2 linked regions of the Rhinolophus ferrumequinum genome follow. The protein of the gene in region 1 interacts with the protein of each later gene in a pairwise test. Links are inferred from orthologs where the notes say so. Each region holds a gene or a part of one and is shown in the gene's direction. Other genes may lie near its edges.

Region 1 (7,025 bases):
CATTTTTATGTATATTTTTTCTCTTTTTAAAGCTGGAAAGATTTCTTCCCTGAATAAAATGGGGGTTCTGCTGATTAGGAATAAGAGGATATAAGGGTTGGGAACTACCAGTGCTTGCCACACAAATGAAGAAACTGGGTCTAAGAGGTGGTAAGGATCTTGTACAAGGTCAAATATATGGCCAAGTCATACTCAAACCCATGTGTGATACCAGAGTCCATGTTCTTAACCGCTATGAGAGATGCCTCCTTCTCATGGTGCATTGTAATTCTTAAAACACACACATACACAACCTTGGGGTGCCCAAAAAAAGTGTATACAAGTGGACACTTTGGTCGACATTGCTCAGGCAGTAGTTTGCCGTAATGCAGAAGTGTCTGGATGCCGATGGGAACCACTTTGAGCACCCTTGTAGTTGCAGAAATCAAACGTAATTTGTATTCATCTTTTGTTATTGGTATATATTGAGTAGAATAATTTTAATACAGTTTTCCTTTCTTAAAATGTGTATACATTTTTTTGGCACTCTCTGTGTATTTAATTTTTCAATTACAGTTGACATTCAATATTTTATATTAGTTTCTGGTGTGTATTTGTCTTTTTATTTGTTCATCCTTTCTTTCCCAGACTGAGCTCCTCAGTACCAGGAATCAATTTTATTCTTTTTGATATCCCAGACTTTTGCCCATAGTTTGTCAAGTGGATAAATAAATAAACATTAGGACTTCAATAATTTCTGCAGCTAAAAATTCTTTCTAGGAAAATATTCTTTAATTGTTTTCTTCCTCTGTAATATTTTATAACCACCTGCTCCCACAGAGGTGGCTGCAGATGTACATGAAAGAAACGATCCTGGTCTTTGTGTCACTATAGGCTCATTTGGCCTCTTCTACTATTTATAGGCTTCTATTCGCAAGCTCTCTCTAAAAGCTTAATGCTTGTTTACAGGACAAGGTTCAATTTCTCTTTGTTCTGCCTGGTCATTCAAACATTCCTGTACCACATCGCTCTATTTCTCAGGGAAATGTGTGCTACTTGACTTACAATAATTTGAGTCACAAGCAGCCCTGATACCAAATCTCATTTCTTGCTGGGTCGTGGAGCAGCCCAGGAAGGACCTAGAGTCATTTAAATTCTAGTATTTTGGCAAGGCAGGTAGGGAGGGGAGAAGAATTTTCAAGACACCAGCTTAATAAGTAAAAATTTCAGAAAACCAACCACTGACGTCCCTAGGTTAGACAAAAGAAGCCATTGTTGTTCCATAGACCACCAAGAAACATCCTGATTTTTCTTTAGAGCTATAATGCGCATGCTTGGTTGCACAGGATTAAGGCCTATCTGCCCAGGGGGCACTGCCAACTGGAGATCCCTGCCGTAGGTTGGGACTAATTTAGCTCAAGTACAACCTTTCAGGCACTTGGACTTCCAACTTGATGGCCCGAATGGCAGTAGTAGAAGCTGCCTGGGCTTCTCTTTCCAGCCGCATGAACCCCTGACCAGCGGCTTAGCATCACTGAACAAATTAGGTGATAAATATTGACCACTTATTAAGCAGTTCGACGCCGTGCTCTGGTCAATATTTATCACCTAATTTATTTACATTGTTGTTCTTTATTTTGTCTCATTTAATCCTTAGAACAACACTGTAACTAGTATTGTCATCTTACAAACAAGGAATGTAAGGTTTAGTGAAAATAAATGACTTGCCTAATATAGCTGTTGCACTAAGGGGTGACTTGGGGTGATTTGTCAGCCCATCTTAATCTCTAGCAGGCCCCCACCCCCCACTTTATGTAATTGGAAAAAAAAACCAGTAGTAGTGATAATGATATCCTTTGATCTTGATAAGAATATTTTTCTTGCTCACATTTAAGATGTGAATAAAATAATGGTAATAACAATAATAATAGCTAACATTTATTAAGTGTTTATCATTGGCCAATCTGTTCGAAGTTCTTAATGTGTGATAATTCATTGAATCCTCACAAGAACCCTTTCAGGAAGGTAGTATTATTATCCTGATTTTCAGATGAAGAAACTAAAGCATAGACAGGCTAGGTAGCTTTCACACGGCATCATGACTGGTTCAGGGGCAGAGCCAAAACTTGGCTATTTTTATTGATCTAGGACACAGACTAGGTAAAAAACAATGAGCTAGGAAAACTCAGCTTCAGGACAAGTCCTTCAGTCTTCCCTTCCAAACAGTCTGCAGGCCCTGTTCCCCTTCTATATAGAACTTCTTAAATGATCACTGGTCCAACATCACATGGGTGGTAGATGGGAAAGCTTGGACTCAAACCTTGGTTGGTCTGATTCCAAAGCAAGGATCTTTACCATTGTACTGTTTCAGCGGGTTAAACCCAAGTCAAAGGACAACTCCTAGACCCATCTGGAAATGACCTTAGAAATCATGTAACTCAGGGTTTCTCAATCTCAGTACTGTTGACATGTTGGGGTGGATAACTGTTGTGAGGACTGTCCTGTTCATCAAAGCATGGTGAACAATATCCCTGGTCTCTATCCACTAGATGCCAGTGGCACCCCTCAGTTGTAATGACCCACAATGTCTCCAGACAGTTGACAAATGCCCTGGAGGAGAGGGGAAAGGACAGAATTGCCCCTGGTTGCCAACCGCTGATCTAAACTATCTCCCCATTTTACAAATGATGGTCAGGGGTCCAAAGAGATGAAGCTCGTTTGTAGAATCCAAGTCATGCATGCAACATAACTATATCCCTGTAACGTACAGGGCACAATATGGAACCCAGAGAAAATAGATGCCCTTTTGGTCCTTACAGACTGGTAGGAGAAAGAAGCTGTTGCACAGCATCTCTAATTGCAGAAAGTTGAAATTAACAAAGTGTTACACAGGCAGCAAGGCGTAGAGAAAAGATGATCTGATGTCCTGAGAGCTGGATCTGCCACTGTTTAGCTCCAGGACTTAACGAAGCTTCACGTTCATCATCAACGTAAAGGAGTTCCTGGTATCTACTCTGCTCATACCATCGCTTCAAAACGGGTCTGTGAACGCATTGTGCAAACTGCATTGTGCAAGCTCTTACAAACATCAGGTGTTATTATTAAGATGATCAGGAATGGGATAATTATTATTATTAGAGTCAAAGCTTTTAGAATTGGGGAGAGCCATGTAGTGGTGATTTCATTCCTGGACCTTCCAAATCGAGATCCTCATTCTTCCGCGGGAGAGGGAGCAGGCTAAACGCCCCCTCCCACAGAGTGCCGGTTCCCTAGTCGGGAACTCACGGGGCCCTCGGGCCTCTCAAGCTCCGCCTGTCCTAGGCTATGGCCCCGCCCCTAGAGGAAACAGACTCCGCCCCCTCCGCGCTAGCTGGAAATCCAGCCGCACGGTGCCTCCAGGACAATCCCTCGCCGCTGGCGGAGACTCCCGAACTGTCCTGCTCTCTCCCCGGCCTCCCTCGGGCGCCAGGAGAGGAGGCGGCGGAGATTGCCGAGGGGAGCTGGCCACGCCCCCTCCGCAGGCTCGGCCCCCACCCCCGCCACGCCCTCCCCGCCCCACCCCCGCCACAGCCTCCCGCGCGGGCTGGAGTCCCAGATCCCGGTCCCTCCCTCCTCCTTTCTCTCTCCCCGCCTTCCCGGTGCTGCCACAGTGGCGGGTCGGAGGATCCCGGCCAGTCAGCTCGTTCCGGCCTCGAGCCCCTCCTCCCCCCAAATAAACACCCCTCCCCAAGGCTCGGGAGCCCGGACCGCCCCTTTCCTCCCTCGGCCCGGCGTGTTGTGAGGGACAGTGTGAGGGAGCGGGCGCGGGCCGGCGGGCGAGCTCCGTGAGTGTGAGGCGGGGCGCGCGGCGGGCCAGGCCGTGGGTCGCGTGTGCGCGTGGGGGCGCGAGCCAGTGCCCGTCGCGACCCGCCAGCCTCCCACAGCCGAGGACCGCGCGAGCGAGGACGCCGATCGCCAGTCGCAGAGGAGCGCCGGGCCCGCGCGCTCGCGCGCGCGCACGCACGCACGCACGCGGGGGCGGGGGCAGGCGCGCGCCCGCCTGTCGCGACTGTCGGGGCCGAGGCCCAGGGGGAGGTGGCCTGTCGCGGGTCGCCCGGCTCCCGGAGGCGAGGGGGGCGCGGGCGGATGGCGGAAGGCACCCAGCCGCAACAGCCATCGCAGCTCGGGCCCGGCGCCGCTGCCCGGGGGATGAAGCGGGAGTCGGAGCTGGAGCTGCCGGTGCCCGGTGGGGGAGGAGACGGAGCCGAGCCCGGCCTGAGCAAGCGGCCGCGCACCGAGGAGGCGGCGGCCGACGGCGGCGGCGGCGGCGGGATGCAGGTGACCGCGCGGGACGGGCGCCCGGTTACGGCGGGGGTGCGGCGCGGGTCCCGGGGGGCGGCCCGGGGCTCCCGGGGCTTGGAAAGGGGAGGGCCTCGGGGTCTTGGCTTGGAAGTGGGAGGGGGCCGGTCGTGGCCTGTTTGGAAGGTGGGGCGAGCCCCGGCTTGGAGGCGAAGTGTGCCGGGGGACCCTGGCGTGCCCACGAGGGTCCTGATTATTGAGGGCACAAGGGGACACGACGCGTGGATGGGTTTCGGGGGGAAATCGAACATGGTTGAGATGGATTCCATTTCTTCCAACCCTTCCTTAGTTCCTTGGGGTGGAGTGAAAGCCGGGAGATCCTGGGTCTGCAGCCCAGAGAGCCGCTGGACTGAGTCGAGGACGAGGGGACAGTGGTGGGACACCTCCCGAGGAGGAGTACCTTTTGGCAGCCGGGGACACACACTGGGATGGGGAAGGGGAGTGGCACATAATAAAAGAGAGGAATCAAAGGCCAGAAAACTCCTCGAGAGCCCAGAGGGGATGTGGCTTCGATTGTGGGTTAAATCAGTTCCACCAGGAATGTGAGAAGTACGCGGCGTGTGGTAGTCTTGTGGGGACACCGTGGTGCTCCGTCGCATTAACTTTGTGAAACATGCTAATGAGTCTGAAGAGAGACGCAGGGCATGTCCCTCCTGGACTTTGCCAGTGGCCTCTTCCATAGCTAGGGCACCGACTAGCTCTGTAATGTTTTGGGGTATGAAAGAACAGGTATAGGGCTGTTAGAAGCCTGGATTCTGAGTTGTGGAGTCAAGGATGAGCTGATTGATGTGGGTAAGGAATGGGAAATGGAGCAATGATGTCAGTTGACTTTGTAATTTGAGGAAGAATGTGAAATCTTGATAAGCTTTAGTTTTAGGATTTGGTCTTTGTTCAGAAAATACTTGCTATGAAATGGTGGTGGTGGTGGTGGTGGTGGTGGCTGGGGGTGGGTGCTAATGTACCAGCAGTTGTTTAGACATCTGCCTAATTCTCTTAGAATCATAGAATGTTAGAAGGGACCAGCGACGTCATCTTTTCCAGGGGTTCTAAACCTGGGTAGACTTGGAAGACTTGTGCAAAATAGTTTACCTGCACTTTTTAGGGGGGGAAGTCAATAATTTCTTTTTTTCTTTTTCTGGATTGGATTCAAGTTCCCAAATGTTTTAACCATCTCATTTTATAGATGGGGACTCAAAAGTCACGAGAAGACTAGTGACTTGCCCAAGGCCACCCAGTGAGCTCGGTAGTAAAACTAGAGCTGGAAGCCTACTCTTCTAATTCCTATTCCTGTGCTCTCTCCATTACACCACTCTTGGAAATCTCTGCAGTGCTAAGAGACTTCCTGTGCTCTGCTCCTGCTTTTCAAGGCTCTGCCTGACTTCCTGTGTTAGAGACGGAGCTGTAGTTAAGCCTGGCGTGTTTACTGTGTGCTTCTTGGTCTCCTTTGCAGAGGCCACTCTTACTTCTGTTGACTTGGGTACAGTGATCCTCTGTGGTGTTTATTTTTGAATTCTTTTGTTTTGTTTGCTTGCTTTTGTTCTCCTTTAGAACTCTGTCAGGCAGAGGGATTGTGAGAAGTGAAAGCTCAGGGCCATGGGAAAAATATATATAAAGGAATATGGGGAGACTTCAGGTGAGGTGGGTTAGTACTGGATGGGAAGGAGGGAAGACTGGATGAGTGCTGCTGAGCGTTTTCTGCGTGGTGTGAGCATGTATCTGTGTCTGTCGGTATTCATTTATTGTTTTGTCAATCATAGTTAACAGCGAGACTCTTCCCTTTCCCCCACCTTTCCTCCTGGGGCCCATTATTTGCTGGTTGCCTTCAAATTGGCTAAGGACAGTAATATTTGGAAGTGGAACAGTGTATAGGGACTCTGGGGTATGCAGAGGAAGGAGTGGATTAGGTCCTTTGGGTACAGATGGGCGACTTAGAACCATCCCACAGAGAATGTTTTTTGCACTCTGTGTATTTGTGGATCTTTATTTATTTTTCACTTTATGCATTCTCATTGTTGGACTTCCAACATACCATGTCACACAGGTATTCATATCATCATTGATTTAGTCCCCTGCCTTCAACTAGCTGTATGGTTCTGGGAAAATCCCTTCTTTTTGGGCCTCTATTTCCTTAGTTGTAAAATAAAGTGTTCATACATGATGATTTCTAAGTTACCTTCTAAAATATATGTCAAGTTCCCTGACCTTAAAGTGTTTGGTGCTTACAATCTAGGTAGGGAGACAAAATGGGTGAAAAGTTGTAAAAAGTGTATATGTGTGTGTGTGTATATATATTTATATACACACACACACATATATATATATATATGATTTTTTTTTGTAAGTTTAGAGAAATAGGAGTAGAGATACCACAGGGTAGATGCATGCCAAAAGGCATTCATTGCATGGTTTAGAGGATTTGTGCCACTCAGTCCAGAAGACGGAGATGGTCATTCCTGCTGAAATGGTCAAGGAAGGCTTTCTGGGGAGCTTAAAATTTGAGGTATAATTGGGAGTAACACCAGTTGATTCACACCAGTCAGACCCTCTTGTATCCTTTATATCCAATGCTTGTTCATGCATCATGTATATTGTCCCTTAATTGTTTTGTTATTCTTGTTTCCCTAGTGAGACTAAGCTTCTAGGAGACAGGAACTGTACTTCTTTGTATTAATAATACCAAACGGTTTTGGGTCCATTGTAAGTGCTCT
Region 2 (7,380 bases), on another chromosome or scaffold:
TGAGGTATGGTGAGGTCAGATGCAGATCATGAGAGAACTTTACAGTTTCTTGTACTCGTAGCTCTCGGGGAGAACACAGCATACCAGCCAAGGCCACTCAGGGGAAGCACCAGGTTGGTCACAAGGCAGAGCGAGGGCGAGCTGCAGGCAAGCACTTTTATTGTGGCTTCAGCTGGAAGGAAAGGGTTAGACAGGACAAACACAGTTAGGAATGGCTAATTTAAATAATTTCAGTGGGCTCTGGAGCTATCCTTGGTTGTCTGATCCCTGACCCTGGGTCATTTAGAGTAGGAGTATGGTGGCCTAGAATGTGAGAGCCTGATAAGGGAAGGGTTTGGTGGTGTGGACGTAATCAGCTGTTCAAGAGGAACTGACAGCTTCTAGCCAGGGCCTCAAAAATGGATCAAGATAGCATATACTTACCCACACAATCTATATGATAGGAAAAAAATCTTTAAAGAAATTTATGTAAATGGGCCACACATTTTGTTACTTCTCTGATCCCAAAACTTCAATATTCCCCACTGACCGTATATTGCTTTTTAAAGAGTTGAAAAGCACCTCGGAGAACAGGTTTATCTGTAATTTTTGGTCTGAAAACAATGGAAGGAAATAGTCAATATTTCAAAATATCAGTATATTTTAATCTGTATAATATCTGTAACTTTCTGTGTTTTATTTATAATTTTTAATGAAGTTACTGCAAGAGAGGCAGAAGAGAAGCTGCAAGCTGCCTTGTACCCAGCACCTTTCTTACCCCCTTCCACCTTTAGAATTGACATATAACAGCACATCTTGATCCAAGTGAAGTTTTCTGACTCTGCTGAGGCCCCACAGAAGTGAAGGCATCTAACTGTACATATTCTGGGCTGGGAAAACTCATTATCAGGCTAAAAGGTGACAAGTCAGTATGGAGAGAGCTAGACCTCACTTCACTAATGTCCAAGCTAGGGCTTGTTGCAGGCCGGGCCTGCTGCAGAAATGCTTAAAGTTAAGGGCAACCACCCAACACTGCTTAGTCTCTACCTGGAGTCTTTTGCTAGGCAAAGAAACCAATTCAAGCAAGTAACCATCAAGCAAGGGGGTACCATAACTCCTTTCACTAACACAAAGTGCTGTTTGAAAGAACTGTAAATACAAAGGTCAGCCTCCCCTGGTGGGAACTCACATGTTGTTGTTTTTTTATTAGTTTCAGGTGTACAAGACAATGTAATAGTTAGACACTTACACCCCTCACAGTGATAACCCCCTCCCCCAATCTACTACCCCTCTGACATTGTATATAGCTGTTACAATTCCATTGACTATTCCCTATGCTGTACTCCACATCCTGTGACTATATACATATTATAGTTGACATTCAGCCTCAGCTTCAGGTGTACACTGCAGTGGTCAGGCATCTACACTGTCCATGAAGTGGTCTCCCTAATAAGACAAATGCCCATCTGACACCCTACAAAATATTTACAACATTATTGATTATATTCCCCACAGAACTCCTTGAATAAGTATTAGCACTGCTTCATAGGTTCATTTTCTATATTGATCAAGAAAATTAACCAGACAAGGCTGTGACTGCTGAACTTGACTGCATCCCACCTGGGCTATCTTATTCTCATCTCTACCTACCAGATAGAGCACCTGGCCTCAAGGAAAAACATTACATTTGGACAGGACCTATGCTGTGTCTGGACAGTTCAATTTGCTTTCTCACTTCATTCTTTCCTTCTCTCAGATGGGAAAGGGAGGCAGAAGAGGGGCCTGAAAAACCTCCTCTCCCTGAGCTCAGAAATGAAGCAGTTGGGCGGCCAGTTGGATCAGCTGGTCAGAGTGCCATGCTCATGACACCCAGGTCGCCGGTTCAATTCCCACATGGGCCAGTGAGTTGTGCCCTCCACAACTAGATTGAAAACGACTCGACATGGAGCTAATGGATCCTGGAAAAACACATTGTTTCCCAATAAAATAAAAACAAACTAAAAAAAGAAAAAAAATAGTGCAGCAGTTGAGTGCAGACTCCGGAACCAGAACGTCTCAGCTTCATGCCCAGACTGTCACCTACAAGCTGAGCAATCTTAGGAAAGTTACCTTAATGACTCTGTACCTCAGTTTCCTTCCACTTAGTGTGATGATTGTAATAACATCTACCACTGTTTAAATGAGATTAAGTATTCAGAATAGTGTAAAGCACATTGAAGGTGAAATACATGTTAGCTATTGCTATCACTGCTGTGTGGCAGATACTGTGATTTTTGTCTAAAAGCCTTTGCTGAGCTACGGTGATCCTGCCTACCCACTGGTACTCTCCTGGAGAAGGAGGTCAAACTTAATGCGTAAAGTGTTCTTTCAAGGGTTATCAACTGGAAAATTTTAATAGACTCTAGACAATACAAACCTCTGTATCATCTGTTATGGACTAATGGTTTCCAGAGAGGAGCTTATTTTAAAACTTAAAATATTGAAAGTTATTAAATTTGTGATAATCTATTTACATAAACAAAAGGCAGGTAAGTCTGTAAGGACACAGCTTGGGGTGATCTTCATTTGTGGTGAATTCAATTGTTTTTAAACCATGTACCTTAAGGGTACATCTCCGTGCAGTTACTCTCAAGAATCAAAAAAAATCTGAGATTTCAGAGCTTAGATGAGACACTTCTGTAGATACAGAGATGAAAAGAAAGGGTGGAGGACCCCTGGCCCCACAGCTGAAGTGGTCCCCAGTTGGTGAGATAAGCCAGACATTTGTGAAGAAGTCCTGGGATCTGTAACACCAGTGAACGATTCCTGCACTTGCTGTGGAAGTGGGCTTATATGTGACTACTCATATCATAGTGCACATCTGGGATGACTTCCTAGGACTAGACACAGGCTCAAAATCAGTCCAAGGCCCTCGCCTTTCATTCAGAAGACTAGAAAGATTATTGCATCATTGATGAATGATAGAGAACTCTCAGACTTGAAAGGATCAAAGAGCCACTAGGCTCAAAGGCTCTCTTAATGGACTACATGAATATATCTTCCGGGACATGGTTTCATAGTCCCTAAACTTAGAAGCAGTACTATTTTTTGGTTTAATTTTAATATTTGCCTCAGATTGACTACTTCCATTTTCTCTCCAGAAACAGACTTTTCTACAGCATGAACTGTGATGGAGTCATTGTGGGGTTTCTTAAAAATACCTACCTGATTTTAGTAGGACCCGTTTTCTGTAATTTTGCCTTTGATTAATTTTCACCTCTCTGACAGCTCCCGCTTTTACTCTTCCCACTTTTGTCTTTCTTGGAAAAAACATTTTTTGAGAAACAGTGCTCCTTCCTCTACTATCTTCCAGTCATAATCTTACACTATTTCAAGCACTCCCTTAATTTAACTGGTGATTTTAAAATAATATTCTGCTTAACTTGTAATGAGTGCTTGATTATTTTTTTCTTCTTTTTTCTTTTCTTTTCCTTTTTTTAAAATTTTATTGGGGAAGGGGAACAGGACTTTATTGGCGAACAGTGTGTACTTCCAGGACTTTTTTTTTTTTTTCCCAAGTTGTTGTCCTTTCAATCGTAGTCGTAGAGGGTGCCGTTCAGCTTCAAGTTGTTGTCCTTTCAGTCTTAGTTGTAGAGGGCAGAGACCACCATCCCTTGCAGGACTGGAGGAGTTGAACCCGCAACCTTGTGGTTGAGAGCCCACTGGCCCATGTGGGAATCAAACCCGGCAGCCTTAGGAGTTAGGAGCACGGAGCTCCAACAGCCTGACTTTGGACACCAGGCCGGCTCCTATTTTTTTCTTCTTTATGAAGACTTTCCAAAAACAAAATGATAATAATTATTGACTCTAGAACACATCAAGAAAATCTGCTCCACTGTCTCAGGCTGTAGCCATCCATTTTCAGGCAGCGGGTAGTTTCAGATACTAACTGAAAACCGTGCATTCCCCCTGAGTCTTGAGTCACCTTCAGAGTCTGTGGGACTTCTTAGCCCAAGTGATAGTCACATGAGCAACCTCAGTCAACCTAATTCCTCCCTGAAGCCTGCCCTTGGAACCTCCTTTATCCGTCTCTGCGGTTCAGCTTCCTCTTTCTTCCTCAGCAGGAAACGACTCTCATTTACTTCTCTCATGCTGGTCTTTAACCCATGCATCTTTGGGCTCACTGTTTGGGGGCCTCCCCCAGTCAGTAACTTAAAGAGCAATAGGTAAACGCACTGGTCAGCTGAGCCAGGATTGCCGGAGACCAGCCGCTACCCTCGATGCACTCTCCCCTCCGTAGGCTCCAGCCCCGCCCCCATCCGGCTGACCAATCCCCGGCTCTGCACAGAGCGCGTCACAATGGCGGCCTTGCAGCACCGCCCCCGGACGCCTGCCGCGAAGGCCACGCCCCGCCACGGTCTTTGCGTCCTTCCGGTTCTGTGGTGGAAGTAGGACTGCGTCTCGTCCTCCTGGAAAAGGTGGGGTTCCGTGGGGAAACCGACCCTCGGTCGCGCGGGCAGCCAGAAGCGAGGTTGGGGCGCGGGCTTCCGGGGCTGCTGCTCCCGGGCGCTGGGGCGCAGAGCCGAGCGGGGACGGGCACACCGAGAGCAGCAGCGCTTCCCTAAACGCCGCGTGCGCATGGCGGGCGGGAGTTGTGGGCACCAGCCCGCCGCGCGCCTGACCTCCTCCCCCAGGCCCCGCCCAGGGCGCGCTGCCAGGGGTATCCATGGTGATGGTAAACAAGCCTCAACTGTTTCAGTTACAACTGCCAAGTCTCCCGCGTTCTACCCTCCTCTAGGTGCTCAGCGACGACCAAGGTGCCGGGTGTGAAGAAGAGCGGGAGCGTGGAGACTCGGAGCCCGAGGTGAGGGGCGGGACGGGCGGAATCTCCGAGGCCAATAGCCGCACACCTGGGACTGATCGGGGACTGGGCCCCCTCGAGGTAGGGGCGGCAGGGCTGAGAATTGGGTTTGTCCCAGATGAGCTTGAGGTCCAGGGCCTTACATTCGGGGACTAAATCTCAGGGCTGAGATTTGGGGTCCGAAGACGACGGGCCCGCGGCGAGGAAGGGAAAGAGGGCCTCGTGCGGAGCCCAAGCGCCTCTGCCAGGAATAAGGGGAGAGCACCGGGTGACCGTCGGAGAGGGAATTCGTTTAAAAATGAAAGCAGTCCCTCCACGTGGCTGGAAGCGCCGGGGAGTTGCGCAGGACTGGTTGGGAACTGACTCCTCCCCCTCCCACGTTCCCGCTCGCCCGGCCTCCACTCTCGGCCTTTGCGGCCTTTCTTCCTTTTGGTGCGGCGTGTGTGCTCTGAGCGCTTGTCTGCGTCTGTCTCCTGCCGTGAGAGGTATTGTGTCTGCATTTTGGCTGAAACTCGGGTTCTTATTATCTTTGCCTGTTGATCACACTTCTGCCGAACGAGGTTGATTAGTTAGCCGTTTCTTTTTTTCTTGTCTTTTACTTATTTGTATCATTGAATATATTTGGTGGTTCTTGACTGCGCCTAAGAAAGTTATCGACGCTGTAGGCTCTTGCACTGCGCCCTCTGCTTCCCCTGTCTTGTGTGGTTCACTGAAGGTGGCGCCGGCGGCCTGGGTGACGCCGCGCCAGTCGCGTGGACCCTACCTACCCTGGTCTTTAATAGAAACGGTTGGAAAGCCACAAGCCGGGGAGAGCCCCCTTTCCAGGGCACTTAGGAGACTGCCTTCCTGTGTCCCGTTGATCCCGCGGGGTCCCTTCGCGGCAGTTTCTTTACCCTGGAGGCCCGAGGACGAAAGAACGTGGTTAAGTATTTTTCACATCTGTTTGCGGGGTGCCGGGGGCTCCCTGCCATTGCAGGCTGGGATGGGGGGGTGACGAGAGAGGAACCCGCGAGCGGCTGCGCGCTGAAGGGGGACCGTGAGGCAGCGGCAGCTTCCGGGAACCGCGCGGGTCGGCGGAGGGTAGAGGAAGGAGATCCGAGGCGCCTGAGCTTAGGGGCGGCCCTTGCGCGTCCCAAACCTGGTGGAGCAGGGAGAGTTTTGAATGCTGAAATTATCTTTTAATTCACAACGCCATCGATACTACCGATCTTAATGTAATTTTCACTATTTCAGTCACGTTTTTAAAAGTTTACTATCTTTCTGAATTTCTTTCTAGTAATGAAAATACCTTGGGCTCTCTGGTTAGACAAAACATACTAGGATCTATCGGTGAAAAGTGATGTTTTCAGTGCTAATTTCTAGACGAGATTGTTTTGTTAACTGATGTTAAACGAGTCCATTCTTTGTCTTGGGGATCTCATGTTCCTGTCTGCATTTCTGTAAATTGAGTAGGTTTGTTATTTCCATGTTGTGGTCTTTTTGTTTTTAGTTTTTTTTATTTTAGTAACATTCTTTTTGTAGTATTTGCTTTTATTACCTTTTTAAACTGCCAAGTGACTGGTTTTCACTTGAGTATTGTTACAAAGCTCCCATTAAACAAAATATTCAAGTAAAAATGTAAATCGATTTAAGGGCAAAGAGTGATTCAACAGGACAGTTAGTCCTTGTATAGAAGGGCCAAAACTGAAGGAGCGTGTGGAGGCACACGGTGCCCATCAGGAGAGGTGTCTGGAGAGACGGCAGAAATGGGAGGGTTTCCCTCTTTCACGGAGGTAACTTCCCAGAAACTTCCCCTCCGAAGTGTGAGCTCTAGCTCTCAGGTTCTTTGTAGAACCACATTAATTGACCCTTACTGGGTTCGGCACAGAGTTAGGTGTTTTACAACATTTTCTTAATCACATGCTCATAACCAGGCTATAAGGGGGTATTGCTTTTATCCCCCATTTTACAGATGAGAAAATGGAGGCTGGGAGACAAGAAGACACTTGACCAGTGACACAGCTGGGACTAGGACTCAGGTCTTTTTGACAGGAGCAGTCCTCTCCTGCCAGGGCCCCTGCCCCAACCTGGTTGCCCCGAAACAGGGTTCTTGTGCGAGACAAAAGGCAGGGCAGAAGGAGAACCAGGCTCAGCTATGACCAGCCTGGTTTGTTTTACAGCACGTTCCAGACATAAGATTTTTATCCATAAATATTTCAGCTTATATTTCTAAGGACCTTTAAAATATAATCACAATATCATCACACCTAAAGAAATAATAATTCTTTGATATCAACAAATACCCAGTGTTTAAATATACCTGATTGTTTAATAAGTATTTTTATACAGCTGGTTGGTTTGAATTGGGATCCAAATAAGATCACACCTTAATATTTGGTAGATTATATCTCTTTAAGTTATGTTTTAATCCAGAGCAGTCCTGTCCAATAGAAATAAAATAGAAGCCACATAGTTAATTTTACATTTTCTAATAGTAAAAAAAAAAGCAATTCACTTTAATAATTTACTTTAACCTAATGTAGATCCAAAATATCATTCATCGTGTAAATTTTTTAATTATC

What was found. The genes of interacting proteins can lie anywhere in the genome.
Region 2: the proteins of RBFOX2 (region 1) and HNRNPF interact in binary tests that used the Homo sapiens proteins (3 or more experiments, as listed by UniProt). The link is inferred for Rhinolophus ferrumequinum from reciprocal best matches to the Homo sapiens genes RBFOX2 and HNRNPF.

What each region holds. Positions count from the first base shown.
Region 1 is NC_046293.1:10,469,390-10,476,414, forward strand, and holds the start of RBFOX2 (RNA binding protein fox-1 homolog 2), read left to right. Parts: upstream 1-4,012; 5' UTR 4,013-4,104; coding exon 4,105-4,296; intron 4,297-7,025. UniProt on the Homo sapiens protein: RNA-binding protein that regulates alternative splicing events by binding to 5'-UGCAUGU-3' elements. Prevents binding of U2AF2 to the 3'-splice site.
Region 2 is NC_046299.1:66,653,511-66,660,890, forward strand, and holds the start of HNRNPF (heterogeneous nuclear ribonucleoprotein F), read left to right. Parts: upstream 1-4,378; 5' UTR 4,379-4,436; intron 4,437-4,756; 5' UTR 4,757-4,822; intron 4,823-5,165; exon of another isoform or gene 5,166-5,304; intron 5,305-7,380.